Oreochromis niloticus: one gene and its partners. The protein of the gene in region 1 interacts with the protein of each later gene in a biochemical or structural test. Links are inferred from orthologs where the notes say so. Each region holds a gene or a part of one and is shown in the gene's direction. Other genes may lie near its edges.

The links.
Region 2: the proteins of parp1 (region 1) and pcna form a complex in vitro, tested with the Homo sapiens proteins (3 studies listed by BioGRID). The link is inferred for Oreochromis niloticus from reciprocal best matches to the Homo sapiens genes PARP1 and PCNA.
Region 3: the proteins of parp1 (region 1) and rela form a complex in vitro, tested with the Homo sapiens proteins (2 studies listed by BioGRID). The link is inferred for Oreochromis niloticus from reciprocal best matches to the Homo sapiens genes PARP1 and RELA.
Region 4: the proteins of parp1 (region 1) and hmga1a form a complex in vitro, tested with the Homo sapiens proteins (2 studies listed by BioGRID, with this or other methods). The link is inferred for Oreochromis niloticus from reciprocal best matches to the Homo sapiens genes PARP1 and HMGA1.

Annotation. Positions count from the first base shown.
Region 1 is NC_031980.2:10,088,293-10,096,023, forward strand, and holds the start of parp1 (poly [ADP-ribose] polymerase 1), read left to right. Parts: upstream 1-4,716; 5' UTR 4,717-4,859; coding exon 4,860-4,982; intron 4,983-6,113; coding exon 6,114-6,276; intron 6,277-6,829; coding exon 6,830-6,945; intron 6,946-7,058; coding exon 7,059-7,273; intron 7,274-7,279; exon of another isoform or gene 7,280-7,328; coding exon of another isoform or gene 7,329-7,731. Other genes in the region: si:dkey-206f10.1 (adenylate cyclase type 8), read left to right, coding at 1-185; adenosine receptor A1, read right to left, coding at 7,329-7,731. UniProt on the Homo sapiens protein: Poly-ADP-ribosyltransferase that mediates poly-ADP-ribosylation of proteins and plays a key role in DNA repair.
Region 2 is NC_031977.2:25,564,697-25,572,671, forward strand, and holds the start of pcna (proliferating cell nuclear antigen), read left to right. Parts: upstream 1-4,965; 5' UTR 4,966-5,137; coding exon 5,138-5,358; intron 5,359-6,283; coding exon 6,284-6,381; intron 6,382-6,470; coding exon 6,471-6,538; intron 6,539-6,626; coding exon 6,627-6,821; intron 6,822-7,396; coding exon 7,397-7,520; intron 7,521-7,616; coding exon 7,617-7,693; 3' UTR 7,694-7,975. Other genes in the region: zgc:152830 (putative aminopeptidase W07G4.4), read left to right, coding at 1,134-1,191, 3,249-3,430, 3,524-3,658. UniProt on the Homo sapiens protein: Auxiliary protein of DNA polymerase delta and epsilon, is involved in the control of eukaryotic DNA replication by increasing the polymerase's processibility during elongation of the leading strand.
Region 3 is NC_031967.2:4,864,936-4,872,706, forward strand, and holds the start of rela (transcription factor p65), read left to right. Parts: upstream 1-4,765; 5' UTR 4,766-4,967; coding exon 4,968-4,974; intron 4,975-6,728; coding exon 6,729-6,764; intron 6,765-6,934; coding exon 6,935-7,068; intron 7,069-7,771. Other genes in the region: serine/threonine-protein phosphatase PP1-beta catalytic subunit, read right to left, coding at 2,887-2,938. UniProt on the Homo sapiens protein: NF-kappa-B is a pleiotropic transcription factor present in almost all cell types and is the endpoint of a series of signal transduction events that are initiated by a vast array of stimuli related to many biological processes such as inflammation, immunity, differentiation, cell growth, tumorigenesis and apoptosis.
Region 4 is NC_031984.2:12,115,766-12,123,351, forward strand, and holds the start of hmga1a (high mobility group AT-hook 1a), read left to right. Parts: upstream 1-4,584; 5' UTR 4,585-4,737; intron 4,738-4,828; exon of another isoform or gene 4,829-4,998; intron 4,999-5,062; exon of another isoform or gene 5,063-5,457; intron 5,458-5,762; 5' UTR 5,763-5,782; coding exon 5,783-5,881; intron 5,882-6,849; coding exon 6,850-6,930; intron 6,931-7,586. UniProt on the Homo sapiens protein: HMG-I/Y bind preferentially to the minor groove of A+T rich regions in double-stranded DNA. It is suggested that these proteins could function in nucleosome phasing and in the 3'-end processing of mRNA transcripts.

The DNA of each region.
Region 1 (7,731 bases):
ACTTCATCAGGACCGTGCGCGGTAAGATGGCCAACGATGGGACAGATGGCCGCCTGGCAGGGCAGACAGGAGGACGCATGACGCTGGCAGAGGTGGTGTTCAGTCTCGTCCAGGCCAGACACAAGGAGAAGATGAGAGAAGGCAACAGGAGGTTCAATCGGACTCCCTCCAGACTGCAGCGCTGAGGGGACTGTCAGGGTCAAATGGCTGCACGTAGGCCAGGACACACTGGAGCCATATTCCTTTAATGCTTTGCCATAACTGAATTAGCTTCACAGACAAAATACTGAGCTACCTGTGGCAGGAGCCCAATCCTGTTTAAGCCTTGTTTCTTCCAAGACTGCATCATACCCATCTTTTTTGGCATCTCAAGAAAATTTTGGACAAGTTAATAGGAATTTATGGGAAATCATCCATGCTCATATTTCTATTTCTTGACTTCTGGACCAAAACATTCATCTTGCATGACACACCGAGTGGTATGTGGTCTGAACTTTAGTTGGTTAGGAGCTAACTGAGCTATCTAATCAAAGTTCTGGCCTCTTACGTTTCACAAGTATGTTGTAAGCAGTGCAAAGTGCTTTTTCATCACTATTATTGCCATATCTATACACTATAAGCACTGATTTGAAGGTTGTTTTGTAAAAAGAAAAAGAAAGAAAGAAAAAATCAACATGTCTTTATGTTTGCTGGGATAACACATCAGCAAGACTCCAGACCTCCAAGCAAAACACTACCTCTTAGTACAAATTCTCCTAGACTACAAATGGCCAATATAGAATGATGTTTGTTTGTTTGTTTGTTTGTTTGTTTGTTTGTTTGTTTGTTTGTTTGTTTGTATTATCTTAATTAGTACATTTATGTTGTGAAGTCAAGCATTATTTCTTCTTTATATCCAATAATTTCAAATATGTTAAAGAGATTTTGGTCACTATAATTCACTCATGCAACATAATCCAAAAAGAAAAAAATCCCTTTATTTATAAAGTGATTGCTGCTCGGTTTACTTTTGTAAATACTGTATTTGCATAGTTTCCACTGAGCCAGTATTTCTTGTTTTCTATCTTGTCAGAGTCAGTGTTGTTCTGGATTTATGAGATTCAGAAGATGAACACTGAAACAGTTTTAATGCCAAAAACACCTTACATATCACTGTATTCCTCTTACTGTCATGGTAAAAAGGAAAGCACAACCTCTGTCAGTACTAAGGTTCTTTGTGTTAGGACCTAAAAAAAATCATTTCATCCTTACAAGATCTTAAATGCATTGAAATACAACCTCAGATGAATAACACCACATGTAGAAGCAATGTGTGAAAGACTAGGTACACTAAGTCCACCTCCATAGCTTGTAGAACCACATTTAGCAGCAATAACTTGATGTAAATGTTTTCTGTAAAACTTTATCTATGTGAAGGTCCTCAGTCATCCAGGTCATGGTAATCCAAGGGGCTTGGAAAGAAAAGCGAGTGGACTCCTTTAAGTTTCACCTCTCATCCGTGAAGCTTCTTCATTTCTACGATCAACTGGTGGAGAGTCCCATATTTAGGCCCTAATAAACTGGCCAGCCAGCCTTTGTAATATTGTTTGCAGGCAATCATTTATGCACAGCTCTCTTTCAGTATTTCAGTCAGTTAAGGTCTGGTCTTTGACCAGGCCATTGCAACACCTTGATTCTGTTCTTTTTCAACCATTCTGTTGTAGATTTGTTTCTGTGCTTGGGATCATTTTCCTGTTCAATGACTCAATTACAATTTTTCCCATGTGACTCTAGAATACTTAGGAATACATAGGAATGACTGCAAGGTCCTGTTGCTGCAAAACAAGCCCAAAGTATTACAATTCCACCACCGTGCTTGAGAGCTAGTATGAGGTGCATGTGCTGATATGCTATGTTTTCACCAAATATGATGCTGTGCATTGTAGCAAAAGATATTATAATAGTGAGATATATAATATAATAGTGAGAATAAGCTTTCTCACTATAGAATGATGGACATCAAATTGTTTGGAAGTTTCTTTATAAACCTTCCCAGACTGATAGGCAGCCTTTGCTTTACTCCTTGTCATTGTGTTAACACACAACTGAATGCAGCAGACCATCAAACTGCCAAAAGTTCTACTTCTATATAGGTGCTCATACTCACTGACAATCAATTAATCAAGTGCATTTAATTAGCAAGACCTGTCTGCTACTTACTCTGTTAATTCCTATGGAAACAGTAAGAGTGCACTTAGTTTTTCACACTCTGCTTCTGCACTTTGGCTTAGTTTTTGTGGACGACACAGTGTAATATGTCATATGTTGATGTTATTTTGTTGTTCAACTGAAGTTTCGGTCCTAACTAAGAACCAGAGTGATTATGTCCAGATATGTAAAATGGTGTACTTTCTTTTTTCTTTTCTTTTTTCTATTTACCTTGATCATTTATTAAAATCAAACAAATCGTGATGTAGGAATGTTTTACATTGCAGGTCTGATTCAAACTGACACAAATTCACGTCAGTCTTTATTTTGTTTGTCTTTTAACTTCAAATATTAATGTTAAGCTCCTCTATGGGACTTTGTGCAGTTTTTAAATAGATAACAAAGACATGTTTAATTATTGCTACAGTATAGAAATGTTCACAGCGAATAGTACGTCTGTATCAGCAAAACTTTTTACTTCATTTTTTTAATATAATTTTTACAAAAACATTCAAACCAGTCCAGTTTCTACTAATAAAATCAATTATTACCATAAAGCTGGGTGCTTTTAATTTTTTAACTCTGTATTATTAATTATTAATGACACGATACTCTTATTAAACTCTTTTTTTGAAGGTGTATTCTTCTTGGAGGTGTGTCTTCCTTTCTTGAGAGTCACGACGATTGCTCTTGACTCCATTAGTTCTGTCTGCAGCCAGCGCGGGTCTTCTGCAGCCGGCTCACTGATGCTCTATTTTGAAAGATGGTTCACCCGGAAGGTTTACAGAAAGCTCGAAAAGAATAAACATAATCTCTACAGAAGTTAGCTCATCTACAGTAGTGTCTAATACTCCTTTCCTAGACATAAACAAAGGTTTCCTGACAAACACTGTAGACTGTAATCACATACTGGTTTATTTTCCATTACATTTTTCAATTAAAGTTCTGTAATAATTACAATTACAATTACAATTACAATCTTTATTTATAAAGCACTTTTCATACAAACTGTAGCACAAAGTGCTTTACATGGTTAAAAGCAGCCCACCCCACCCTCCCACTCATTCCCCGCACTGTCATTAACAGAAGCGGTCATGATACACACATCCCCCCCCCACACACACACACACATACACACACACACACCTAAAGAGTAAAATTGGGCTGGGTACGTATTAGCCAAGTGAGGAAACACTATCACAGGGAGCTGTCTGCACCGGGAGCCGGTCACAGACCGTAGCCTCCAGGCTGGGCACACAGCAGGAGGGAGGCAAAGAAGCCCCCCAGCCAGGTTCAGAGGACCCACAGGGCCCCAGCAGCCACGGTCGATCACAGCCCCGGTGCAGAGAACCCCCCTCCGAGGAAACACTGGAGATATGACCTAATAAGAATATAAACAGGATAAAAAGATAAAATAAATAAGAGTGGGATATAATATAAATATAAGTATAAACAGAGTAAGAAGATAAAAAATGAATAAGAATACAATCAATAGGTATTAGGTAAAACTAAATGAATAATATAAATAGAATAACAGGATAGAATAAATAAGCATTAAATAAATAAGCGTTAGTTAAAAGCTAAATTAAAATATCATCTCTCTGAATGCTGTTTCACTGTTGTCACAGGACAGAAATATATTTATTTTCCTATTTTTGTCTAAAATTAATCAAATATAAATATATGGTCTATAAAAAGCCTTTATAAAAGCCTTAAGCATAACAGTAATATAATCATATAATCATAATAATCATATAATAAACATAATAATACAATATATTAATCATAATAATGTTAATAGTCACAGTGTTTTTCATGTATCTGTTGGATTTTGTATAGTACTGAAGAGAATTTATGTGTTTCTTAAGTCAAGATGCAAATCTAAGCAGAGCTGTAAAGGTTTTGTTGTTGTTGTTGTTTTGTTGTTGCTGTTGTCTTTATTTTTACACAATTCAGTTGCATATTTTAGTAATTTAATGTTTAAGGTATGTGTTAATGGATTTTGTGTAATTTTGATAAAGTTTTGAATTATTTTCCTTTAGATCTTAATTCAGTTCTGGTCTTTAGTGTAGGTAGGTACTTTATTAATGCCAAAAGGGACATTACTGTAGGATAAAGGATTTAAAAAATGCATGGAAACAATGAAAACATCATTGTACCACAGTACACAGGTGCGGTACCACAGGTCCGGAGTAAAGGCCTTAATGTGACACAGGGCAAACATTTTGTATGCATACACAGTGATAAAAAAAGAAATGATATAGCCTCTTTATTACGGATATTATCTGCAGCACATGTAGCACACTATGCATCACAGGCTCTACTCCAGAGGCTAAACTCCAAATTTCCATGTCTTTAAATCCTTAAAATCTCACTTTAAGACATATGGATATTCAGCATACATGTCACCTTCACTCGCTCATATCTCACTCAGGAAGAATGAGATTGAGATTGCGAGTTTAGAGCTGTAGTTTTCCCAGATGAGAGAGCCGCTGGTGCGGTGGGAAACAGAGACAGAGTGAGAACTCTCCACGTGACTCTTCTCTCTGCAGGCACGCGGGCTTCTCTCCGCCAGTGCGTTGATTGTTGCGGTTCCTCGTCACCCGAAGAAAGTTGTTCGGCTCGTGGTGAATTTGCGTAGTTCTGTTTTAGTATTAAGAAATAAATCAACTATGGCAGACTCACAAGAGGACAAGCTGTACAGGGTGGAATACGCCAAAAGTGGCCGCGCGTCGTGCAAAAAATGCAAAGAAAACATAGCTAAAGACTCGCTGAGGATGGCTATCATGGTGCAGGTAAGGTGGCGACGTGTGGAGGCAAAGCTGCTCCGTTAACTAGCTTGCTATCTGGGTGCTGCTATCTGCGTAAAGCATGCGGGCTGTTGTACGGGTGTAGTGGATGGGTAGGAGCAGACTGGAGAGTAGGAAAATATAGCTTATGGTGTGGTTTGAGTTGCGCCGAATCAGGCCCTCGTTAGCATTTAAATGGCTGACATTGTCTGTGCACTCCTGTCCATCACAAAGAGCCGCGGAGCCTTTTTGTCTCTGTCTGGCTATTATGCATCTTGCAGTTCATGAGCTAATTTAATTTATGCTTGAAGGCTGCAGATATTCAGAGTTTGTCTATCCCAGAAGACAAATAATAGGAAAAAAATCACAGCACACAGAAGCAGAAATACCACTGCGTGGAAACTGCTGCTGCCCCACAGAGAGGTAATCACTTAAAGAGTCGGAGAGCTGCTTATGTGGCTGCCTGTTTACTCATGGTTGATGGAACAGCTCCAGATTCTCAGGTCACTCAACTTTTCTCTCTAAAGACCTGTCACATTCAGTCTGTGTAATTCATACAAATCAGCAGAGTGTAAAGTACTTTTTGAGCACTTAATGCACCTTTTTTTTAAGAATGTAGGGGTCACACAGGGCTCTATTCTTGAGCCACTTTAGTTTACACCTTGTATAAAGTATGCCTTAGTAAAAGATTTTTTTTTTTAATCTTTGTATATGAACCTTAAAAAATGTGCTATGTCCTAAATATACAATATTTATTCAATTTTCATAGCTATACATGCTTTCTTTTTTGTTACCTGCCCAGGGACTGTCATTGCTAGAAAACAGCATGTTTACATCTTATTTTTTTTAATACTGATGTCCATAAAAAATGTCTCAAAGCCATGGGCTGTTTGTCAAAATTTTGCACAACCTGGATTTAACTTAAGAGTTAGTTCCAAAGTATCTTTGTGTCATGCAATAAATGGATTGAATGCCCTACACATAACATGGCATTGGTAAAGAAAAGAGATGATTAAATAAGTCTGGCAGGAAAATATTACCCTTCTCAGGCATCATATAACCATCGAGCTGGAAGAAGCAATTAGAGACACTTTACACTGTAAAATAAAACATCTGTGTTTGTTTTTTGTTCTCCAGTCTCCCATGTTTGATGGGAAGGTCCCCCACTGGCACCACTTCTCCTGCTTCTGGCAGCGAGCATCAGCTCAGTCCACCGCTGATATCGCTGGGTTTTCTGATCTCCGCTGGGATGACCAACAGAAGGTGAAAAAGGCCATTGAAAGCGGTGGCGCCGCAGGAGGTCAGTACTTAAGTTTTATTAGGCTGTGACCCCTCGTGGAAATGGTTGGTCGACTTAATTAATGTTATCTTAAGCTTCCTTTAGTTATTATAGGCAATCGAAGGAGTAACAGTGTTACTAAGCAGCAGTTAAACATTGCCTCATCAAAGAATCAATCAGTGCAGCAGCAAAGAAAAATCATAAAGTAATTTCATTCTTTAGTGTAAATGCCCTTATCCTGAGAGGATAACATAATTACCTGCTCAGTCACAAGAATTTATAGCAGTTGACTTTGGAAAGAAAATCAAACCCTGTATTATATATTTTAAATGGTTTCCTGATGACTAGACTATAGGTGAAGCTTTGGTAGGCTTATTTAGAGCTGAACACTGAGTCTGTCAGTCATTTGAATGAAAACAACTGACAGCCATTTCAATTGTAGTTGGTCTGACATAACTCAGATTTAACCTATACATATATCTATACATCTGTAGACTCATCATGATATATGTTTTATTACATATAACTGAACCAGCTATAAAAAGATATAAATGTTCAATTTTTGATCTTGTAGGGAAAGGTGACCAGAAGGGTGGCGCTAAAGGCGAGAAGACGCTGAATGACTTTGCTGTGGAATATGCCAAGTCAAACCGCAGCACATGCAAAGGCTGTGAGCAGAAAATAGAAAAGGTTTGGGACCGCTTTTATTGTCTGAAAACTGCTGTTTAAATGTAATTATTTAATTATCTGGTGGCTTAACTTTGTCATTTTCCCATAAATATTTGATCCATTTGAACCACCAGGATCAGATTCGTGTGTCCAAGAAAACTGTGGACCCCGAGAAGCCACAGCTGGGTCTTATTGACCGCTGGTACCACACGGCGTGTTTCGTGAGCCGCAGGGAGGAGCTGGTTTTCAAGCCCGAGTACAGCGCCGCTCAGCTGAAGGGATTCAATGCACTGCGGGCAGAGGACAAAGAAGAGCTCAAGAAGAGGCTCCCTGCTGTCAAATCTGAGGGGTGAGCCAAAATGATTTATTCGGTTTGAAGCCTGGGATTAAAGTTATGATCAGGTCTAGCGTTGATCCCCACTGTTGGTCTCATTTAAAGCCTCTCTGTCCACCACTGTCCTGCAGCACATAAAAATAGCTTTAAATGTGTCCCTGAAAGCCGTCATGGTGTAGGCATAAAGGAAAGGGTTGACAGCAGAGTTTGCGTGTGACAGGATGATGGCTGTGAGCAGAAGCTCAAGAGGTACATAGCAGCGTGGACAGAGAAGCAGGAAGCAGTTGATTATGTGAAGTGGGATCCAGCAGACCGTAAAGAGGAAAAGAACCAGAAAGAGAGAAGTAGCCGTCTTCATCTCTCGTCGCATGCTGGCCGCGGTCCTGATTTGTCCGTCACCTCTGCCGCTTTGCTCAGATGTGATGCGCCGCACTTGCCGCTTAACCGTGACAAAGATTTGGGCGTAGATGAGG
Region 2 (7,975 bases), on another chromosome or scaffold:
TAATAAAACAGATTGTTTCGAGTAATCTGAAGATGGAGCTTTTGGCTTACAGGGTTTCTTATACATACACTAGCCACTTTGGCAATGTTTAAAATGAGCATGCACTATTGTAACTCAATTTTTTTATCAATACAAAACAAAAAACAGTCTGAACACATTTCTCAAACCTAACCCACCCTACCCCTAGAAAACCAGATCAAGGATATGAATATAGTCAGACATTATTAACATATTTACTCAGTCATGTATAAAAATATCTTGTCATTCTGTCACATGCATTCAGTACACCAATACTGTTCTGTGTTAGTAATGACAGCTGCTTTTAACAAATTATATTAATGGTTGCCAGGTAACATAAAATTCCTCTAGTGTTGTATCTGATCTAATTTAATTCAATTCAGGTTTATTTATACAGTGCCAAATCACAAAAGCAGTCGCCTCAACATGCTTTATATTATGAGGTAAATAAGAGAGAAGAAAAACAACCCTCTGTGAGGAAGCACTTGACAACAGTTGGCTAAATGATGGGGACAGAAAATCCTTCCATGGAGAGAGAATGAGCCCTCTAAGCCAAGAGAAATAAGAAGGCAGTCATGTTCCCTTAGAGAGATATCTAATGGAGCCAACCCAAACAGTGAAATTAATGGAGATGGATGTGCTGTTTGTCCACATATTTTAGAAAACAAACCAAAACATACAACAGTGGTCAGGATCCTCTGCATCGGTCACACGATGATCAGCAGACCAATGACCACTATGTACAAGTTTAAACTGGACTACAGTTTGCCCAGTTGAGTCTGGAGTAGATTCTCCCAAATCAGTTTCCCAGTTTGTTTTTAAGATTTTCTAAACTAGTCAGGTGATGCATATTGACAAAAGCATGGATTTTACTCATAATCTCTTTGTAATCAATTTGGCATTTAGAAATCTGACCTGAATTTGTTGTTGTGGTACATAAAGGGTAACAGTCTGAATTCTGAACTAAATGAAACAAAGAATCTGTGACCCCTCCTTTATGATAGGAAAAAAAATAAGAGCACAGTAGGACTACTTTGAGTGTCCAGACATTCCAGTGTTTTAATCATCATTGTTGTATTATTGTACTAAGTTAAGTTTGGAACTTCTTGTTGTAGATCATCATGGATAACGGGCCGGCCCATCGCAGCGGGAACGCTGCTCAGTGGCAGAAAGGTGAGAAATATTTACAATTATAGATCTCCTTACCTAAGGCCTCTGCAGCTCTTTCAGCTGGAGCTGAATCCTTTTATTCACAGTTGAGTTAGTTCACCTGTTTTGCCAGGTGTACAAACCAAAACAGCCAAGACAACTTCACTGACAGAGGAAACGCCGAATAGTGATGCGCGAATCATGAACGAATCGTTCAATACTCGAGAATCACTTTACTGACTCGTGAATCATGATTCACAAGCGCAACTGACTCACTGACTCATCCCTGTTGCTGTTAGCAAACTAATTTCATTAGTAGAAATATATCTAGCTTATAAATCAAATTGTGAAGAAAAACACAACATCCAGTATCTTAACAAAAACATTTCTGCTCTGAACTGGAAGAAAAAACCCTGAGTAGAAGCTCACATCAAGACAATAGCTCCTCGGTTCACAGTAGTATCGCTCTGCTAACATGCTAACAGCACATTTGAGCTACTCACCCCCTCCCTTCCTGCGCTGAATCGTAGGGGAAGCAAATCACTCAGGACTCACTAACCCCCTCCCTCCTGTGCTGAATCGTAGTGTAAGCAAATCACTCAGGACTCACTAACCCCCTCCCTCCTGTGCTGAATCATAAAGCGCACGAATCACTCATGACTCGCTCACCCCCTCCCTCCTGTGCTGAATCATAAAGCGCGCGAATCACTCATGACTCGCTCACCCCCTCCCTCCTGTGCTGAATCATAGAGCGAGCGAATCACTCATGACTCGCTAACCCCCTCCCTCCTGTGCTGAATCATAGAGCGAACGAATCACTCACTCACTCACTCACTCACCCCCTCCCTCCTGGCTCGCAGCTACTTCTTCTTCTTCTTGGTTGGCAACCAATGTTAAGGCGCACTACCGCCCCCTGGCTCACAGCTCAGTGGACATTTAGATGAGAAAATATATATTTGACACATGTAAGGAAAATACTAATAAAATAAAAATAAACAAAATAAATGTTCCCTTTAGAAATTCTTTTGCTCTTTTTTGCTATATAAAATAGTTGTTTTCTTTAAGAATCACTCATCTTAGCAGTAGGATTTACATTAAAAGAGAAACAAATTAAGTTTGAGTGAAAATGTACATTTTTTGCACTCTGGTCAACTGACTCAGTGACTCAAATGACTCAAAAAACCTGATTCACTTTGGTGAGTGACTCATTAAAACTCGATTCAGTAAAAAGAATCAAATTTACCATCACTAACGCCGAATAACCAGTCCTTTAGTTATTTTAACTGTACAGATGATGCTATGAAGTACTCTGTTCTGTTAATTTAAATTGCAGCTAAAACCATTATTTGATGAATGGACTGCTTGATTGCTGCACATTTACTCAGATACTTTGATTAATTTGATTTTAATATGTTTTAAAAAAAAATGAATTATGTTCGCATCAAACTCTGTTAAGACATAACTTTAGTGCAGACTGTAGACTTTATAGGACCTGATTTAGGGTCTAATCATTAGAAAAATCTCCCCAGATCTTTACACAGACTGTCTAAAACAGGGCAGCCTTTCAAAGCATATTTATATATGAATTGAATCATGTGACCTCTTTACAGTCTATGTTTTCAACAGCTTTTAACAGGTTTTTTTTGGTGTAACTATTATTGGAGCAAATTATAATGACATAATCAGTGAGACCACTCCTGTTGGCCTAGCACAGTTTTGTAGTTTAGGCTTTCATAAAATTGCAGTACTACAGTTTTCCCAGCAGATGCTGCTATTGTAAGAATTGCAAATACTTGAAAAGAAGTAAAAGCACATTGCTTCATAAACCTCTTTCCACCAGTGCAGGGTCCTATCTTGTTCCTGTTTCATGCATTCAGCCCACACCACTATAAAACTGCTGATCTCATAGCTGGAACCACTGATGTTAGCTGAGGGGTTTCTGCAAGATGCCACTGATTCTGTTCGCTGTGACTTTCATCCTGTGAAATGACCCTACCTTCTCCTACACTAACACAATGTTGCCTTCAGTTGGCAGAACTCTGCCTTTGATTTACACTAATACGTGGCCCTCTCCCTTTCAGCCGGAGAGGTGCTGGGCGATTTGTTTGAGGTGTCTACTATCAGGCGCGAGGACTATGAGTTCCACAAGGGCCAGTCTGAGTATGAGGACATCCTGCAGTGCAACAACCTGCCGTCCTCTGCTACACCTAGAGGACATCAGACACCTGCAGCTTTCCTCATCATGGCTTCAGGACTCGACAAGGTGCTCGCACATTTTATTCATCTGCTATTCATGTGAAATGTGTGCACTCGTGTGGAATAACCTGTGTTGTTACCTTATGTGTGCCCACCGCAGCACGGTGTGGATTCTGAAGCCCCTCTGCCGTACTCCCACGTTGACATCGCCGGGTCCAGCGGTCCTTTCCCAGGTGTACCAACAGGAGCCCCAATCATCACCATGGCAACCAACTACATACTCTCTGATCTCTAAACGGAGAAATTTAGTCTCTGCACTTAAACCCTGCACAAATTTCTTTCCATCCAATTACAAAAGAAACACCTGCTACAGCACTTAAAAAATTAAAAATAATCTGTCCTGTTTGACATGAATGAATACCTCAGACTGCTTTTCTGTAAGACTGTTCGCTGCTTCATATCTGAATCGAGTGTCAAACCAGCCTGTCAAGTGGCCTGAACCAGTACATTCTCAGGGGTTAAATGGCCGTGCAAACGTAACATCCTTTTCTATGTGTGCCTGTATGTGTGCAACAGACTTGGGACGTGATTTGTGTAATTTGTGACACCATGTGCTTGTCAAACCAAGTACTTCATTAATAAAAAGGTTTTTGAGGTCTTTGTGTTCTCTCCACATAACTTGTTTTCTTACAAGGAGGAAGCCCCATTTTTATTGCCTTTGGACCAAGTTTAAAATAAAAAAGAAAGTGACTGATTTTTTTTTTTTTTAACAGGAAAATCCTAACTAATGTTCAAAATTGTTGCACTTGTAGTAAATATATTTTTAAAAAGACTAAATACATTTACCCAACTATTAAGCTTTGTAAAATTTTGAATATTTAGGTGATAGCTACAGTTAATTTAAACATTTAGCATGCAAAACATTCATATTACAGTGGTCATTTTATATGACAAATACATTTTGTGGTTTACAGAGCAAGTACTTTAAGGATGTGAAGATTAACTCCCACTTTGATTTAAATTCAATACTTTGTCACTGGAAAGAAGTCCAATTACAGATTTAATCTGTCTGATACTATAATATAAGAAAAAGAAGTTAAATCACAACAGTGTGTCTCAGTTTTGTTTTGTAGTAAAATAACTGCTACACTTTGGACTTAGATTTTAGGAAATAAATGTGTAGCTCATTGCCCAGATTGTCCTGTATATATAAAACAAAGTTATTTTGTTTGCTTTTTCTTTAGTTGAACAAGAACTTTTATGACATTTATTTATGTATTTCTTAATTACTTTGGTGTTGTGTGAATGGCTATGGGAAAGGTCTTTATCAGTAGTAAAAGCCTGTAAAACTTCTGAAAAAAATTACAAAACGTGATGCCCACATTTTCCAAAATTGTCCAATGGGCCAAATTTGAGTTTTTGCTCGGCCGATTCTGGTCCCCCGTGCCCTATGTTTGACACCCCTGCTGTACAGTGTTGTACAATATTCTGTATGATTTGTCCAGCTTACAAAATTGTCCTCTCCAACATGGCTGAAATAATCGTCTAGTCTTTTAAGCGGTTGTGGCGTCGACAAGGAAACGGAAATGACGCAATCGTGCCCCCGAATCATTAAAACCAGCGGTTAGCGCGCGCTTTCAGCTTAAACTCCGCCGTGCCGTGAGAGTGGTATTCACGTGCCGTGTCTGTGCTCGCCAGCAACAGAAAAACCTGAGCTCTCAGAGAAGCCTTTCTCATCTTTTCATCTGCGCAGACATAAAACTCCACAGCAACCATGTTCGAGGCTCGCCTGGTCCAGGGCTCCATCCTGAAGAAGGTGCTGGAGGCTCTGAAGGATCTGATCACAGAAGCCTGCTGGGACGTCAGCTCGTCCGGCATCTCCCTGCAGAGCATGGACTCCTCTCACGTCTCCCTGGTGCAGCTCACCCTGCGGCACGATGGCTTCGACTCGTACCGCTGCGATAGGAACCTCGCCATGGGAGTCAACCTGAGCAGGTGGAGTACACATACCAAACATTTAAAAAAAAATTGTTTATAGGTAGAAAATACTGTCTTAACACCGTTTGATGCCAGCCCGTTGCTGGTTCTTGATGGGGCTTAGCTAAGAGGAGTTTCTGCTGACTAATGTCCCCAGGTTGACAGGTTGAGTTGTCAAAGTTTATCGAGTGTAATAACACGAAAAAAATGGCTGCTTGGTTTGTGACGCGGTTACTATTTTTGAGTCTTACGATCGCTTTTAGCCTCTTTTAAGCGCGCTTTATTACATCTTCATGCAGCTTCTGATGCTGACAAAGAACAAGGCCATCTTGGCGGAGTTGCCCGGGCATGTCTGCCTCCTGAACTTAGTTAACTCTTTAGTGACCGCTCTGAAACGGCGCGCTTTGTATATTAGATGTGTTTAATGGGGCAAAGAAAGTAGTTCGGCTTCACATTCACCGTTTAAAGTTTAAATTACGTTTGGAGCGGTTTGAGAGAGTTCCGCTGATTTGTGATTGCGCGGTGACAGCGTTTTAGCGCCAAACTGTGAGCCGGGAGGGTTGGCGGGAATCATTGTTGAACCCGGGAAATACCACTTCCGTTCCTACGTCACTGCCTGTTTAGCTTGAGTCATTTGTGATGGATGTTTAGCTGTTTACAACGCTTCTTTTTAAATCAGCAAATTAGAGTGTTAATAATATTTATTTTAAACGGTCTTATTGTTTAGCCTGTTGTCGCTGCAGGTCCTTTTAAAACGAGAACAGACTGAATAATATTTTTAACTACTGACTACTTGTTGAAATTTTTAACTATCTTTTGCAGAAAGGATTTGATTTATTGTGTGAATTACGTGTTTTTATTAGTTATTTATTAATTTAGTTTTGTTGTATTTTATAATGTGAGAATAAAGTTTTCTGACTTATGTTTTACCTCTCTTATCCAGTATGTCAAAAATCTTGAAGTGTGCCGGAAATGAAGACATCATCACCCTCAGAGCAGAAGACAATGCAGACACGCTCGCTCTCGTCTTTGAGACTCTCAGTAAGTTTGAATTCTATGTTTATTCAGTAACATCAGCCTGACTGGCGGTGTCACAGTGGTGTATTTACTGCTTCTCTTCAATCTTGCAGACCAGGAGAAGGTGTCAGATTATGAGATGAAGCTGATGGACCTGGATGTGGAGCAGCTTGGTATTCCGGTAAGTCAGCTGTTACGTCCTCCATTTTTGTACGGCAGGGTTTTCCTCACACGCTTACTAACCTTTCCATGTCTGTCTGTCCCTCCAGGAGCAGGAGTACAGCTGTGTGGTGAAGATGCCCTCCGGGGAGTTCGCTCGCATCTGCCGTGACCTTTCACAGATCGGCGACGCCGTCATGATCTCCTGCGCCAAGGATGGAGTCAAGTTCTCCGCCTCAGGCGAGCTGGGCACAGGAAACATCAAGCTGTCCCAGACCAGCAATGTGGACAAAGAGGACGAGGCTGTGAGTATGAGAGCTCGGCATGTGTTGGCAGACATGATCAAGACGATTGCATAAAATTTACATGTGCAATAATTAAAATCTGATAGTTTGAATATGTGTTTTGTACTCCGTTTTAACTGGCACCTGATGTAATGTGCTATTACTGCCAGAAGGTGGCAGTAATGCACTCACAAGCTGTTTGCCAGCAAAAATGCAATAAAAAAGAAATACTGACTTATGACCGGATCAGTTCAGGTTTCTGATAGATACCAAGAAGTGACTTTGGCTGTTTGTACGGAGTACAGGTGGAGGCTGAAAGCTGCAGATGTTTCAGTGTCATTAACTAATGACTGTTTTTTCAAAGGCATTAATTAGTTACCAGCAGTTTTAAGACAAACTTCTTTTTTTCTTTTCTTTTTTTTTAATAAATCGAGTATTCTTAAATATTTGTTGACATCTTAGTGCTGAGACAGCAATTAAGGCCTTTACTTTAGAGCTCCTTATTTACTGTATGAGCTGGTGATCTGAGTGAGCGTGGCAGACTTGCTGTTGTGGCAGCACCTGTTAAGTTCTTGGCTCTTCCTTCCTGTGTTTAGGTTACGATTGAGATGAATGAACCCGTCCAGCTGATCTTTGCCCTCAACTACCTGAACTTCTTCACCAAGGCCACGCCGCTCTCCAAGACCGTCACCCTCAGCATGTCCGCTGATATCCCCCTGGGTACGTGCATCTGCTCTTCCCTTAAATGACTGCAGGATTCTTCGTTTGGTGTGTCGTGGCCCAGACTTACTGTTTGTTTTGTTTTTCTCCCTACAGTGGTGGAGTACAAGATTGCTGACATGGGGCACATCAAATACTACCTGGCACCGAAGATCGATGAGGAGGCTTCTTAAGATGTTTCTAACAGACCAAAAAGGGAGAATAGAGAAAAGCGAGACGACTGCGACTTGTCCCGAGTGATTGAAGCACTGAAGTGATCTCATGATGGTCGATCACTCTGCCCGAGGTTTCTGATCTGCTTTTCGCGGTGGAAGGTCGGCCTTTTATAAGCAGCCAGCTGTCAGCTGTATGAATGGTGCCATCTGTGTGATGCAGTGAAGCCTCAGAGCACCTGGCTCTGGTCCAGACATCCCCAGTGTAAATGTCAGCACTTGCTCGATCTAAATTAGAGTCGC
Region 3 (7,771 bases), on another chromosome or scaffold:
TTATATACTTGTCACTGCTGTAATTACGTGTGGCCTGCTACAAAGCACTTGAACGTTTGCTTGTAGTAAAGCAAAAAATATGATTGATATCAAGGACAGAAAAGTGAATGCTCGCATGAATCTGAATACACATTTTCTTCTTCTTTAAAGGTGCTTAACCATTACTTAACCAAGTGTTTGGTCATTTTTATGAAAGCCAATTACTTAAAATTCACTATGTAAAGGTTTTCTTTACAATCCATAACAGAAAATCGAATACCTTTTACAGTTTTTCCCACAGAACTAAACGGGATTTACGATGAGAGCAGGTTGATGCATATGATTGTGTCTATATATCTAAATAATAGGAATACACAACGTTTGTGACCATTATTCATATTCAGCTGTCTACCCAGTTAGGACATCATACAGCAGACAATTCGACTATCCAGATCAACAGTAAGCGACAGTATTCCTCATTCTGCTCTGTGGTGTTCAGCATAACAGCATATAAACCACACCTCCACCTGCCACAGATTCTGGAGAAGCTCACAGAGGACTTCCAGAATAGACGAAGGCTACTGTTGCTAGATGCAGTCCACAGTGGTGGTGTTGAGTCTGTCCAATCACAGGACGAAAGACTCTCTGGGGAAGCAGCTCAGTGACATTGAGGGTTGCTGCAAAGATCACATCAGCCTGCTGGTGCAGAAACTGCTTAGCAGCAACTGCAGTCTCAGAATTATAGCAACTGGATTGGCCATGGATAAGAAAATAAAGACTGGCTTTGAAATTTAAAAAAAAAAAAAAAAAAAAAAAAAAAAAAAATTGCTAAAAGGAGTCCCAAATTATTCTTAGACAGGCATTAGTATACAAAAGTAACCTACAGAAGTAAATTCATTTCTGGGAAACACCATTTTGGAGTAAACAAGTAATTTAAATGCAGGAACATTGGGTTTACTTGGAGCCCTATTTTAATAAGATTTAAAACCTTTTGTTTTAAAAAAGCCCACAGAAACAATGTCAGATAATCTGATTACAAAAACATCACACCATCCAAACTGAAATGAGTATGCTCAACAAAATCTAGACATTGCAGCAATACTGGGAGACATTTCAAATGCACCCAGCCCATCTATTACTAATCACCGAGTATTTGTGACCCATCACCAGATAACTGGTTTCGTATACATCCAGTTTTGGTTATGAGTCAGAACTAAAAGCCTTCAGTACAGCTTATGATGCCCCTCTGATAATATGGTCACACCAACAAAAAAGCCAGACATTTTCAAATGGTTGCAGATGAAAAGTGAATGAAAGGAGATGGATAGTTGGATACATTGAGGGCTAACATCTGGAAGCTTTTAGGGCCAGATCCCTCCAATTTCCTGCAATGAAGTTAACTTCTAAACATGAAGCCAGCATACTATAGTCAATTCTTGCAGGCACAGTACTGTTACACTCTACAGATCACGCACAAAGAGAAAACAAGCACCATTATGTCACTGCTCCTGTCAGTCCAGATGATTAAGTTATACTGACATGCACTGCACATCTACATTGGGTTCAATCATTAGCAGAAGTTGCTTTCCATGAGATGATCTGGCATGAATGCTTGTTCACCACTGACTCAGAGAGATATAATCTCTCTGCTTATAATCTGTTTTCAAGAAATTATCATCTACATCGACTCCTCTGTCTGTCAGAATCCCTCATTTAGCACTGCTAAGAAAATCATCCCCTGCTGCTAGCCAACACATAACAATGGAGTAGGGGCAAAAACACTTTTACACAACAGCTCAGCAGCCCACATGCATATAAGCTACCACAGAATACAGAATTAACAAGTGTCTCTCTGGATAAAGTTGAACCACAGCTAGTATCGAAAAGATTCTTATTAAATATAGTACTGCTGACAAAATGTGTGTTCTTTATGATCAAAAGGCCAGCTGAACAAACTATATGCACTCGTTCATGGAATAAGAAAACACACGGAGTAGTAGAGCTAAAAGTTTGGTTTAGGTTTTGAACTCCTACAAGTATGTTTTAATGGGAATACTACTGAAGCCTGTGGCTTGTGTAAACATCGCCATTTAGCAATATGCGCCAGAAAACAACACAGAGCTGCAGTCTTCAGCTCAGAAACCCTTAAGCCAAATCCCATTTAAATATTTTGAATTTTTCTTAGAAGTAAAGACAAACCCAATTTTTAGAAATCAGAGGCAAGATTTTACTTCCTCGTGGATCAGGCAGCTGTTGGAACACTTTCGGCTACACTCAATCGTCAATCTAAACTTTATTTTTAAGGAAATGTCAACTTTTGCTGAGCATTTGCCCCTGAAGCTATCGCCCTCCACAGCGTATTTTGAACAGAGCTTTTGTAAAGGACCAGAGACTATAATAGGTTGAAAGACAGTAGAAACAACTTGCCAAGTATTTTATTTGGTGCATTCCAAAGAAATGCACCAAATAAAATTGATGCTGTGACATTAGTAAGACAGCACTTAATTACTATAATATTAGCTAGTTAGACTAAGATGGATAGTAAGATAGGTCTGACATTCTCTTCCATACTGGAGCCATCGAAGCACAAACAGCCCACTAGCAATAACTTTCTTACCACTCAATCACCCAAACCTTCAAAATGCAGTGTACAAAAAAGCTCGATCATAGCTGTATCCACATCAATTACAAATTAATCTAAAAAGAGCCGTGAAGGAAAGACGGCTGCTGAATAAAAAGGTGTGCCTGTTGTTAACGACAGTGAGGACCAGTCCTGCTCACTCCAGAACCGGGCAACGCTAACACGTAAAGCGGGCCTTTCTTGTCAAAAATGAAACCTAAATAAGTATTAGGGGCTAACACTGGGCAAAACAAGAATACATAAATAAAAGTTGGTTGTGAACTCACCCTCTAAAAGCCTGGAAATCAGCGAGTCGACGTCCAACTCCCCCTCCGCCATTTCTGTAACGAACAGCTCTGCCCGCCGCAGTCTGAAGCAGGCAGAGCAGACACCGCCTCAACGAACAGAAACCGCCTCCCTTTCGCGGCCTCCCATTTAGGGCAATTACGCCTCATTCAACTACGCCTCGGATATTTTAGTTTCTAGAGAAGAAAGGAGAACAGTGGACAGTTTTTTTTAATTTGAAAACATAGTAATCATATTCATAAGTTTCACGTACTTTTTTTCCTCCTCATTTTCTAATTCAAGCCTCAAATTCAGCTAATGCTATATAAAGTATGGCTCAACCATAAACATCGTGATATAAGGGTACAAAAATGTATTTGTATTAGAAAATAAGGGTAACCAAACAAACAGATGCTCAATTACATATTCACTGCATTTTCTTGCTTTTTACCTGTGATTTTCGATTGCGTTGAATGCGTCAGCTTATCCAGGGCTTCTTACAGCAACAATCATAATAATAACGATGCAAAAATTACCATTAGATATACTCTATTTATAATGAAACATCGTTTACCCTAAGAAAATCTGGATAAGTTTTCATTTTCACCACATTCTATCAAAGGACAGGTGTCCTAAAGGCCCTGATTTATTCACCTCGAGCGCCCCCTTCTGGTCAGGATATGTCAACACTTTAAGAGTAATGGTTTTGATATATAAATATTGTTTACTGATTCTGAGAGCAAAATTAGTCCTTTATTCACGTTACTTTGTCTTCAACTGGACTAAAACAACATGGTGAAATAATCGTTGATTAAAAAAAGAAAGAAAAAAAGAGTTTGAAGCCCTATCACTATTATCACACTGTATTAAGTAGACACTGATTTCTAGTGCAACCAGCAGACCAGAAACTTGTAACGTAAGACCGTGTGTGAAGGACAGGCCAGAAAAACACAGCAGCTGGTAAACTTGAGATCTGTATGTTGTGTCTGTTTACAGAGAGAAGAGGCCGAGAACCGACAGACAGGAAAAAAAGTGAGTTGGATCTTAATCTTAAGGCTCTTCCAGGTTATGACTCAAGCCAAGAGTTATGTTATTGCCTCTCCCACTCACTTATTTTTCAGTTTCTTTCAAGTGCGTCACTGGGTATTTCCGCACTGTTTTGAGTGGGTGGTGGCAAGTTGCACTGCAGAGAGAAGGCAGAGGTCTGCAACTGGATCAAGCTAGCCACAGCGCCGGAAACGACGCAATTTTCCCTCTTCAAAATAAGAGCATGTAGTTTCTTATGAGCAATTGCTTGTCCCTTGCAAAGAGACCAAAGTCTTAAAATAAGTAACGCACAATTGGCATACACTACTCCTATTACACCACAGTTCTGCTATACTAATGTGATTATAGTAATTATTATTATGGCACAACAAAAGCGTGAAAACCATGAAAACAAACTATTGATAATTTTGGACTTGGTAAAGGCAGTAATGTATGCTTTAAAAATAAAAAATAAACCAAGCTATTGTTCTCTTCACAGCTATTTCCGTTATCTTGGAAATTACCCCCCGAAAAAAAAAATCTGCCATGTTTTGATTTTGTGAGTTCACTACAAATTTGATTCATTTATTTAACATTTAGTGATAAAGCTAATAGCTGCCTACGTAGTAAATAAAAGGTGTTATCCAATTTCAGATTCTGCATTTCTAATAAACGTGGCACAAAAACAATGCCTACTATGTGAGAAAAAGACATCGCAATGAAGAGAACAAAGCACGTACTGTGCAGTTGCTGCAACTTGGCGACAGGTGTGTTGCACAAAAAATAAACAGAAAGTTGCAACACATCGCTCCCCAAATAGATGTTACTTACCGGAAACCCCGTGAGCATGAACGTAACTATCCCTGCGGCTTTACTAACTGTACACTCTCATACACAGACGTAGGTGGAGCGAAGGAGGCGACAGAGCGGCTCTGTCAAGAACTTCGTGGAGTCTGTAGTGCCGTGTTTCCTGCTCTTTTTTGGCTTTAAACAAGATACAAATTATTGAGAAACAGCGGGGGATATCGAGGAGCGTGAGCTGGACTTGGACACAGCTATGGACCGTAAGTGAAGCTGCTTTTATTTACTCATCTCAGACACGGGAGGTGAAACTGTACAGGGAGTTGTTTTGCGCACAAGGGAAAGCCCCGCTATCATTGGGTTTTGCGCCAACAGGAGGAGTCTGTTCCCGGATACTAAACTAACGTACAGACAGAAGTTTGACTTAACTTTGGTTTATCGCATACATGTGAGATAGCCGAGAGAAACTTGATGTTTAACTGAATGAATTTCTCAGCGTGTGGACAACTCAACTGGCACGAGCGGAGCGAACCAAACGGTCTCGCGCTGCCAAGAGGCCCGTGGGGTTTGTCCACTTGAGAGATTTCCTTCTAGCCACTGAAACTTCGTTCGGAAGTCTCGCCATTTAATGTTTTTCTGTTTGTAAGTGGAAATGCTCTTTGTGAATCACGCTCTCAAAAGCTTATCAGTCACAGTGAATAGTGTATTTTAAATTCGGCCTGGTTAAAACCACCGTATAACGTTCTTTTCAATAAAAAAGTCTCGTATTTAATTGGGCGACGCTGCTAGCAACCGCCCACACCGGCTTTAATTGACAAAAACGGTTCCGATAGGAAATTGTGGTAATAAGCTCTGTGTTCAGGAGAACACGTGTATGCAGATACTGTGAAGATTTCACAGCCGCCCCCGTTTCTATTTTATTCCATATATACCTTTCCCTTTAGGCTAAACCATAAACAAACGACATTTTATAATGGAGTTCTGTTGACTTCCTATGTTTAGAGTGCAGCCATACTTTATGCAAATGTTATAACCCTTAAAATAGATTATGTTTGTTGATAAGTGTCACTTATCTCTGTCTTGGATGTGGATATTGGCACGACAAACAGCCATCATCTGACTGAGCATCATAAAAAGTATGTCCCTTTGTTCGGTCAGTAAAAATGAAAGTGATTCTAGCAACAGTGTCGAAGACCTCAGGTGTGATGCTCTTAATTCAGTCATTAATGATCTTTCGATCATTGTGGGTATGTGCTTTCACTTTCACATCATCCAGACTCAGTAAGTAGAAAAGACTGTCTTTCACATAAGTGGTCAAAATGCAGTCATTACAGACTTATGTCATCCATTTTTTAAAAATGTTTGTTTGTTATTTTTAGTCTTGACTTTGGGGCTTTAGGCAGCCTCTTCATTCAATATTATTCTGGCATTTTAGGTATGATCAGAACCTAAAAAGCAAGAATAATGTCTTTGGGCTGAAGCTAGAAAGCAAACATGTTACAGCATGGAAAGGACTCTACTCAAGCTTTTGAACTGAACCAGTCCTGCCTGCTGATGGGTGGAGCTTTGATCAACTCATCCAGTGTCACACCTTACTTATTGCCTGAAACTGGAGTGCTCCCTGCACTAAAGGCTTCCAGCAACAAAGCTGGTAACCTGACACCAATATTAAAAGCCCTGCCTGTCATTGTTTGCCTTTTTCTGCACTTCGTCTCCTTCTCGGTAGCTTTGCAGGCAAGTGGTTTATGACAACCAGAGATTATATTTAGCTGGGAGGCCCTTGTATCTCGGCGTCCTTCGACCCCGTTGGACGCTGCACTCTCTTGTAGAATTCCACCCTGACCTCACCACAAATGACAAACTCTGACTAAACCACAAATATGCAACAAATCTGTTTTCTATTATTTTTGTCATCTCCACCACCACTGTGTGCTTCCTCGTGTAAGTCGTAGATGGAAAACCTGCAGTTTTTCTCAATAAGTTGGTTAAATTCCGTTCTTGTTTCTGTTCATCACAGCTGGATATGGATGGAGCCTTACCCCGCTCAACCAGGGTAAGCGCACTTTCCTTTTTAAAAAGAATTACTGATGTTCTCTGCAGTGATTTCATGAGTAAACATTTCTACCCTCGGGTGTAGTGACGATCGATGAGGCTGTATCTGTGTTGACACACGTAAAGCAGTATTTCACAATGAGCACACAATGCCTTTGCTTTCCTCAACAGCTCCCTACATAGAGATTATCGAGCAGCCAAAGCAAAGGGGGATGAGATTTAGGTACAAGTGTGAGGGACGGTCTGCTGGCAGCATTCCCGGAGAAAAAAGTAATGACACCACTAAGACCCACCCAGCAATCAAGGTGTGTTGGTTCATTCGATTCATTAAATATCATTTACGTTACAGATAATATACACATTGGTGAAGATTTAGGTGCATGCAGCCACAGCAACTGTTTCCATAGTGACTCATGTATGTCAACTGTACATTTATAGTGGAGAAGGTCAGTGCTGAAAAAATGCTTTCTCCAGCTGAAACATCTGTTTTTCTTGTTGAATGTTAGGAACACAGACTGTATATGTGTGATGGATGTAGCAAGCCCAATTAAAGGGAGCTAAAATATTTTTTTACACCAGCTGCTAGATTTAAAAGGACAAATACATTTGAATTTCAATAAAACAACACTTCTTACATCTCTTTTCATACAAGAAATCCAATATTGTTCATAAAATACTATCCTTTTTCTAGGATAAGGATAATCAGACATTAGAAGTTTAGTTAAATCACAACAGAATGTACAGGTGTGCATAAGAAGCAGCTGCTTATAGGTGGTTGTTGGTAGAAATTCTCTGCTTTCCCTCATTTCATGTAAAAAAAATATATAATATATATATTTTGTTGATCATTTCAATTGAAAACGTAATTTCCAGAAGAAAACATTTTTCCTACAATATCGGCAAAATTAATTCTGGACTATGAAAGAATGGAGTGATGTTATCAGCTAACGCTAACAAGCTTGGTTTGCAAGTTGCATCTGTTAGTACAAATTCATAAACCCAAACTGA
Region 4 (7,586 bases), on another chromosome or scaffold:
GGCACAGGCAGGAATAGGATGTTTTGTCCACATCTGTTAGTTGGTTTGGCTGGATCACTTGTGGTTTACAAAGCGCCTAAAAATGGATTGCTAGAATGAGCTAGAGAGCGCGCTGAAGGGGAAGACAGATGAGCTATAGGAGAAAAAGGGGGTGAGGGGGCAGGAGGACATGGGGTGGGGGAGGGGTGAGCATGCCAAAGTGGGCCAAGACCCCCAACCCCCACCCTCCAAGGGTCAATAGGATTCTGTCTACCCAAACTCTGCTGCAGAGTTCACAAGCAAGCAGACGTCTCTGAAGAGGGCGTCTGATGTGGAAGTGTTTGTCTCTTCCAAGATTCAATTAGTGCTGAAATTCAAGCTGGCTCCAAGTTTGTTTTGTGCTCTCCTTCTAGTCATTCCGGCTTCTGGGGATCATCAGATACACTTACGCTCCACGTTTATGCGATGTGATGACACTGAAATATGGATGTTTAATTCCTTAAAATCCACAAAACAAATGAAGGAAACAAATTAGATTTGCTGAGATGATAGTTTTGTAGAAAGATGAATTCTTATTACAGCTTTGCACTGACTATTTATTTATTTATCCAGGGAATCCCTGAATGCATGCAAATAAAATAAAATAAAATAAACCAAATAGATAGATAAAGTTTTATTAATGCCTGGAAATACTAGTTTTTAATGAATAAACTCATTGCAGAAATTGTTGCATGGTCTTTTTTTCAGATGTACGTCATAACGTAGTTAATTAATAGAAAATGTTGTGCAAAGTCTTAAGTGCCCCTCATTTTTTATATCTTTGGGGAAAATATTAAACACGTGCAGCACTTCATTTAAACATGCAAACGTAAATGGGAATACATCAGAATTTATTAGGCAAAAACAGAGTTTGTATGAGTGCGAGAGTCAATATTTGGTATGACCACTTTTATCATTCAATGGAGCCTGACAAGCCTTTTTGTAATTTCTTTAAGCAGTCTTCAGCCATAGTTCTCTCAGCTTCCTGAAGGACATTCAAAGCTCTTCTTTGGATGTTGCCTGCCTTTTGTTCTGTTCTCTGTCAAGATGATCCCAGACTGCTTCAGTAATTCAGGCCTCTGGGGAGATCAGTCCATGACTGATAGGCTTCAGCTGGATGTTTTTCTAGTCAGGTATGCTTTTACTGCATTGACAGTGTGTTTGGGATCAATGTCATGCTGAAAAAGGAAGCTCTATTAGATGGTGGATGAAAGATATAATGGCATTTTTCTACATTTATAATTCTACCAATTTTGACAAGATGTAAAACACCACAGGTTTAAGTGCAGCGCAAACCATGACAGAGCCTCTACCATGTTTTACCGATGGCTGTAAGCAGTCACTGTACATCTCTCCTGTCCTCCTCTGTAAATATTGATGATTATTTGAATCAGACTTTTCAAACTTAGGTTCATCACTCCATGAGATCTGTTACTACTAATTTTTAGGCTGGTTGATTCCCATTTCCCTTCCTTAAGAATAACCTCTTGACAGCCTTTCTGCAGGATTTTTTTTCTTATTTCTTATGGAAATTACTTTTGGATACTGTTCATCTGCTGTAGACAGTTTTGTAGACCCGGTACTTCTTTTATCCTCTACTTGTGCAGTTTCCTCAATTTCTTTGAGGTTTATGTTGCGATACGTCAGGTGTTTATCTAGTAGCACCTTGTTGGTGTAAAAATGCTATTTCAGGTATTTTTAACAATGTTATTTTTAGCATTTGCAACAGGATGCTAGTAATAAAGTGTCTCAAGATACAATTTAAAATTGGTTATTTGCTAAGTTGTCTGTTATCTTTAGAAACATCACTAGTTCATCCCTTGAGTTAGATGATGTTTTTATTTAATGATTTATAGGTGAGCGTTAAGTGGCTTAACAAACAGATTTCCTCTGAATAGATAGATAGATAGATAGACAGATAGATAGATAGATAGATAGATAGATAGATAGATAGATAGATAGATAGATAGATAGATAGATAGATAGATAGATAGATAGATAGATATCAGTTTATGTTTATTAAGGGTTTATGTTTATGTTTAAAAGGGTTTAAATTATCATGATATATATTGGGTCAGAGAAGGTGCGCCAAAGACATACAGGATACCTGGCAGGTTGATGCTATCACACCCAAAAGCCTTTTTAATTTGTCTTTACAGGCAAAAGTAAAACCAAAGTTGCAAAGGCGCACATGTTTTGGTTTTTTGTTTTGTTAGGTTTTTTTCCCCCCAGTTTTAAAATCCAACTATTTTGCATCTCAGCTAAATGTAAAGCAATCATTTGCTTTTCACCATTACTAATCAGTCACAATATCCACTCCCTAAATTGGTCTCCAGGTGGTGCCAGTGGTGAGAGTGACAGCATTCTTCACACACACACACACACGCACACGCGCGCAGAGAGAGAGAGAGAGAGAGAGAGTGAGAGAGTGTGTGTGTGTGTGTGTGTGTGTGTGTGAGAGAGAGAGAGAGAGAGAGAGAGAGAGAGAGAGAGAGAGAGAACCTATTTCCCTGTCTCCATCCACATACTGAAGGGTGGGTATGCCAGAGATTTGTGGGGGATGGGCCTGAAGTAGATACGAAGGAAGTGAATAGACTGAGAAATTGAGAGGGAAGGGGGTGGCATGCAAGGCAAGCACATGCTGAGCAGAACATTGGACTCATTGAGAAAAGCGCTCTCCATTCATGCTCTATCCAGTGCCCTATTCACCAAACTCCCGCTCTCCTCGTCATATATGTACAGTGTATTGACATGCATGTGCTCTCCGCTGATAACAAAGCCTTTGGAGTCATTTGATATGTGTGTTTGCTGTAAGTTATTTGAGATCCGCTGTGACCTAACAAACAGAGAGGTAGAATACACACAGAAGAAGGCGAAAGGTCCCCTTACAAGCACTTTCATGTCCCACTGCAATCTCAGAAATCTGTTTTCAATTGGATAGTAGCAGACCCATCAACTCCACATGGGTAGCTCATTTACAGGAGAACCCCTTGTGTGAAAGTGGGCTACCTTTGCATACTACCTACTGGAAGCCTAGGTTGTTTTTATCCGCATTCTCACACCCATGCAATCAACATCAGACGTTTGTCCATTTCACGGGAGCAACATCAAAGGTCGACATATTTAACTATAAGAATAAAAGAGCCAGCAGTAGCAGTAGGGGTGTTTTATGGCTCTTGCATGCGCTTACTCAAGGAACTCCTCTATGGTGGCATATTGTCAGGATGGGATAACTGAGTTGTCTTGTACTCAGATTAACGTTTGCTGAAATACAGCGACAGCTACTGCCTGTTCTCAACAGGTACAACGCAACGCTGCAGTGATATCATAGGAAAAATGAGTGAATAACATAAAAGCAATATTTTGTGCTTTTTTTTTAATGTGGCTAATATTTTTTTTATCATTAAGATAAAGCCATCAGTGAAATATTAAAAATAATATCCAAATGTTGGAATTTTTTTAGAAAAAATAAAATACAAATAAATCCCAAATGCTTAATAAAATTAAAAATCGTTTTTAGTGGGGTGTTTTTGTCATGGTAAACAGCACAAAACACAACCCTATACTATATTATTAACCATTAAACATTTAAGATGAAGGAAAAATTAAGACTACTTTTTTTTAAAATTTTAAAATATGGAAATTAGCTAATAAAAAACTCAGCTCAACAAAGTAAAAACAGATAACAAGGTGAAATAGCTTGGAAAGACTAAAGAATGGACTCAGTTAAAAAGAAAATATAAAAAGATAAAGAGATCAATAAATTAAAATTTAAATATGATACAACAAAGAGCTTGTGGGTGTAGATTTTCTGTATCTATGGTAAGTGGTGTAGATGGTGGTTGGGATCAATTCATTTAAAAAAGATATTCTAACAACAAATAGGTGATTTATGTAAAATGTCGTCTCAACAGATAGAAGCATTTCTGAAACATAAGAAACTGCACCAGGATCACAGCATCACACCCATGTTTTACAGTGTTATTTGCACAGAGGTTTATGCAGGTGAACTATTTACATGTATTACACTGATATTACAAACCTTAAACACATAGAAGATCAGTGTAGTACTGTACCTAAGATCTAAAACCAGAACTGAATTATTTTATGTAATATTCTGCAATACAGAGACAATTTTGTACATTTTCTTCCACTATATTATGATGATATTCATTTTGTTGTTAAACAAACGCATTACTGTGTTATTCATTTAGTAAATATTTAACTTTTCATTTTAATGCATTACTGGAGTCGTGTTTTACCTGCGTAAAGGATGTAAATCATTCCCGAGCTCAAAGGCAGCTTATGTTTACATTGGAGAAGGTCATAGTTCATTCACCATTTTACTGTGGAGACTGTGGTATGTGTTGGTTAAGTTAATGTAGTATGGGACAATATAAATACAGTAAGTAGTCATTCTTTCCTTGGTTCCTAAAAGTATATCCCGCCACTTAAAAACATGTTTTTATATTTTGTGATTGAACCTGGAGAATTAAAGGGATCCGTAAGTGGGTGGCGGGGGGGGGTTGGCCTGCTAGTAGTACTGTTGGTGGCCCACTTATATCTCCGCCCTCCAATGTTCCAGCTCCCATGAGGGCGGCTCTTTAAATTGCCCCAAAACTCCTCCTGGCTGGCGCCTTTTTCCTTTATCTGTAGGAGACAAGACGAGCACGTGCGCTATTTATAGGACGTCGTTGGAGTAAACTTTTCATCCTGCTGGTAATTTGTATTATTTTATTATTTAAAAATAAATCATTAAAAAATGTGTATATATATATTGACCCGCTCTTATTTTAATTCATAACTGTTTTTAAAGCGGCATGAGCTGGGATTTTAAAGGGGCGGGCTGTGTGTTGTCTGACGAATAAAAGCTGTAGCCTATAGATCAGAGCGAGGCTTTTTAACCGGGTACAACCAGCTAGGCTTAAAGGAAACATTTCGTCTTAAATATAGAGCAGAGGTTGCTACCGAGCGATAAAGGTGAGTGCACAAGAAAAAGACGTCGAAAGGCAAGCTAAAGTTTGCAAGCTACAACCGCCTAAATGCATTTTTACAGAGAGGGATCTCCGGCGAGAGGACGCTGCATGCTTTAGATGTGAAGCCGTCTTTTGTTGCTCCGGCCCGGGCTCTCGTTCCCGCAAATGAGCTCTGCTTGCATTTTCTATAGCACTCAAAAAATGGGTGCCGCCATGCAGGCTAGGGCTTTACCCTGCAAATCCAGACGAGCACACACTAGCCATTGTGTGTATGTGCATGTGTGTGTCGGCGGCGGCGGCGGCGGAGGAGGAGGGGGGGGGATATCTCTTCGTCGCCCCGGCGTGCAGACATGCTGCGAGTCTCATGCGCAGGCCCGATTGTTGGCTACAACAACTACAGCAAACGGGCCTCTAAACATGGTCGTGGAGGCAGGGGAGCGCCGGGTTCAGTAGTATTTTGCAGGTTTGCTCGGCCTCCGAACGCTTACTGAGTCCCGGCTGTACCCTGCAAGCCGGTTTGATCCCAATCCAGTGTTTGTGTGGCAGCGTCGGCTATGTAATGGAGCACGGTTGTGACAGAAATAGACCTGGAAATAAGCGCGGATTAATTGAGTTAAACGCGTTACCGGTGTGTGGGTAGGCCGGTCCCCCCCCTTTTTTTTTGTTTGCTGTTGCGGTCACTGAGTTTAATAGCCCGTGTATTTTTCTGTGTGTGAACTCGACGCCTCCCCTTGCTGCAAGAGTGACCGGTGTGATTTATGTCTTTAGGTCTGAAAAGCTACGCAAACATGAGCGACAAGGGGACAGTCTCACCGAAAGAGAAGGAAGCCACAGAGAAGAGAGGGCGTGGAAGACCCCGTAAGCAGCCGCAGGTAAAAACCTCTGACGTAAGTAGTCCCATTCTGTTCTTCTATTTATTGGAGAAAGTGTGCTGTTTTATTATTATTATCATTATCATTATTATTATTATTATTATTATTATTATTATTATTATTATTATTATTATTATTATTATTATTGCATCCCAGAAATTACAGTAAGGATGTATTTAATATTATTAAAAAGATGGGAGCAGATTTTTTTTTTTTTTTTTTAAACCCTTTAACTCAGGTCTGCTGCAGCTGATGCTCAGGTAGATATTATTGCAGCTGAGCTTCTCATGCATATCCCTCAATGAAATTAAGACTCCTGAAATGGCTGCAGCATGCCCTTGTGACCATTTGCCCCTTCCTTATCACTGTAAGGGAAGAACAACAAACTTGCCACATGTCTCACTGGTTTGTAAGCAACCTGTAACCTAAAGCCTTTAAACCAGATTTAACCCCCACGACCCACCTCTGCTCTCCATGTAATGGATGACATAGCAGAGTCGAAGCGCACAGTGGCTCATATACCTGTCACTCAGCCAGCTGTGTTTTTACTATTGAATTGCTCGGTTGCTATGAGCTGCGGTTGTAAACACAGCAGAAATGCAACAGGAGGCGCGTCAGCCATGACGAAGCTTACAACCACACATGAATACGATAACTCACCTCGAGCTGAATGTACCTTGCTTTTTTGCATGTGACGGTAATCCCCTAAGTGCTTACTGTTGCATATTTCCCTTAATGACACATCTGTTATTTGTGAACTTGTATCTGCTGGACCATGGCAACCTTTTTAGCATTTAATGCACATAAGTTGCAATGTCTTTACCTGAGAGAGCTTTTTGTTTTTTGTATGTCTATAATTTGATTTGAAAACCTTGATCAATATACCTTGATCAATATAAACCAGATTTTTAAGAGCTTATGTTGATAAAATATTGTCCAGATGTTGTATACTACCCTAACTTTGTATTGATTGTGATTGCCAGGAACCAAGTGGGTCCCCTACTCCAAAGAGGCCCAGAGGACGGCCGAAGGGCAGCAAAAACAAGACAACCGGCAAGGGCAAAGTAAGTCAATGCAGTCTGCAGACGTGTTTTCACATAGTGACAGTGAGTTCAGCAGCAACGAGCGCACATCCTGATCCGGAATAGCTGCAATTCCAAGATGGGCAGTCGGCGTGGCATTTGTTGTAAATTTGTTTCTTGCAAGTGCTTTGTCTTTTTCTCCAAACCCCTGATTCCTTTTGGTTGATGAACATTTTAACGGTAGCTAACCTCATCCTTGTAAAAGGATGTCCTGCTGTTACTTGAGATATATTTGTTGGCTGTAATCTGGCTGCTTCCCCCTTGTGGTGTCAGAAATAGCTTGGCTAGGGTTTCCCATTGTAAAGACCTTGGTTTACTGCCTCACACTTTTTCTTTTTTTTTTTTGTTGGTGATGCTCACCCTCTACTTCCTGTCCTCCAGCTTCCTGCAGCTTGTCATGCAAAGTGTGGTGCAGGTGCAGAGGCCGCAAGACTGTTTCCAAGCTGACACTAAGCACCCCTCCGCCCCCACCCAGCACACAGCCCTAGTTCTTCTCTGCCTGTCGTTACCATAGCAACAACTGATTTTTCTCCCCCGCCCCAACCCTCCGGCTCTCCCTGCGCTCGGTCTTCACTGCTATGTATGGGAAAGGCAGAGGGAGAGGAAGTCGCGCATACATGTTTTGATATAGGTTTAGC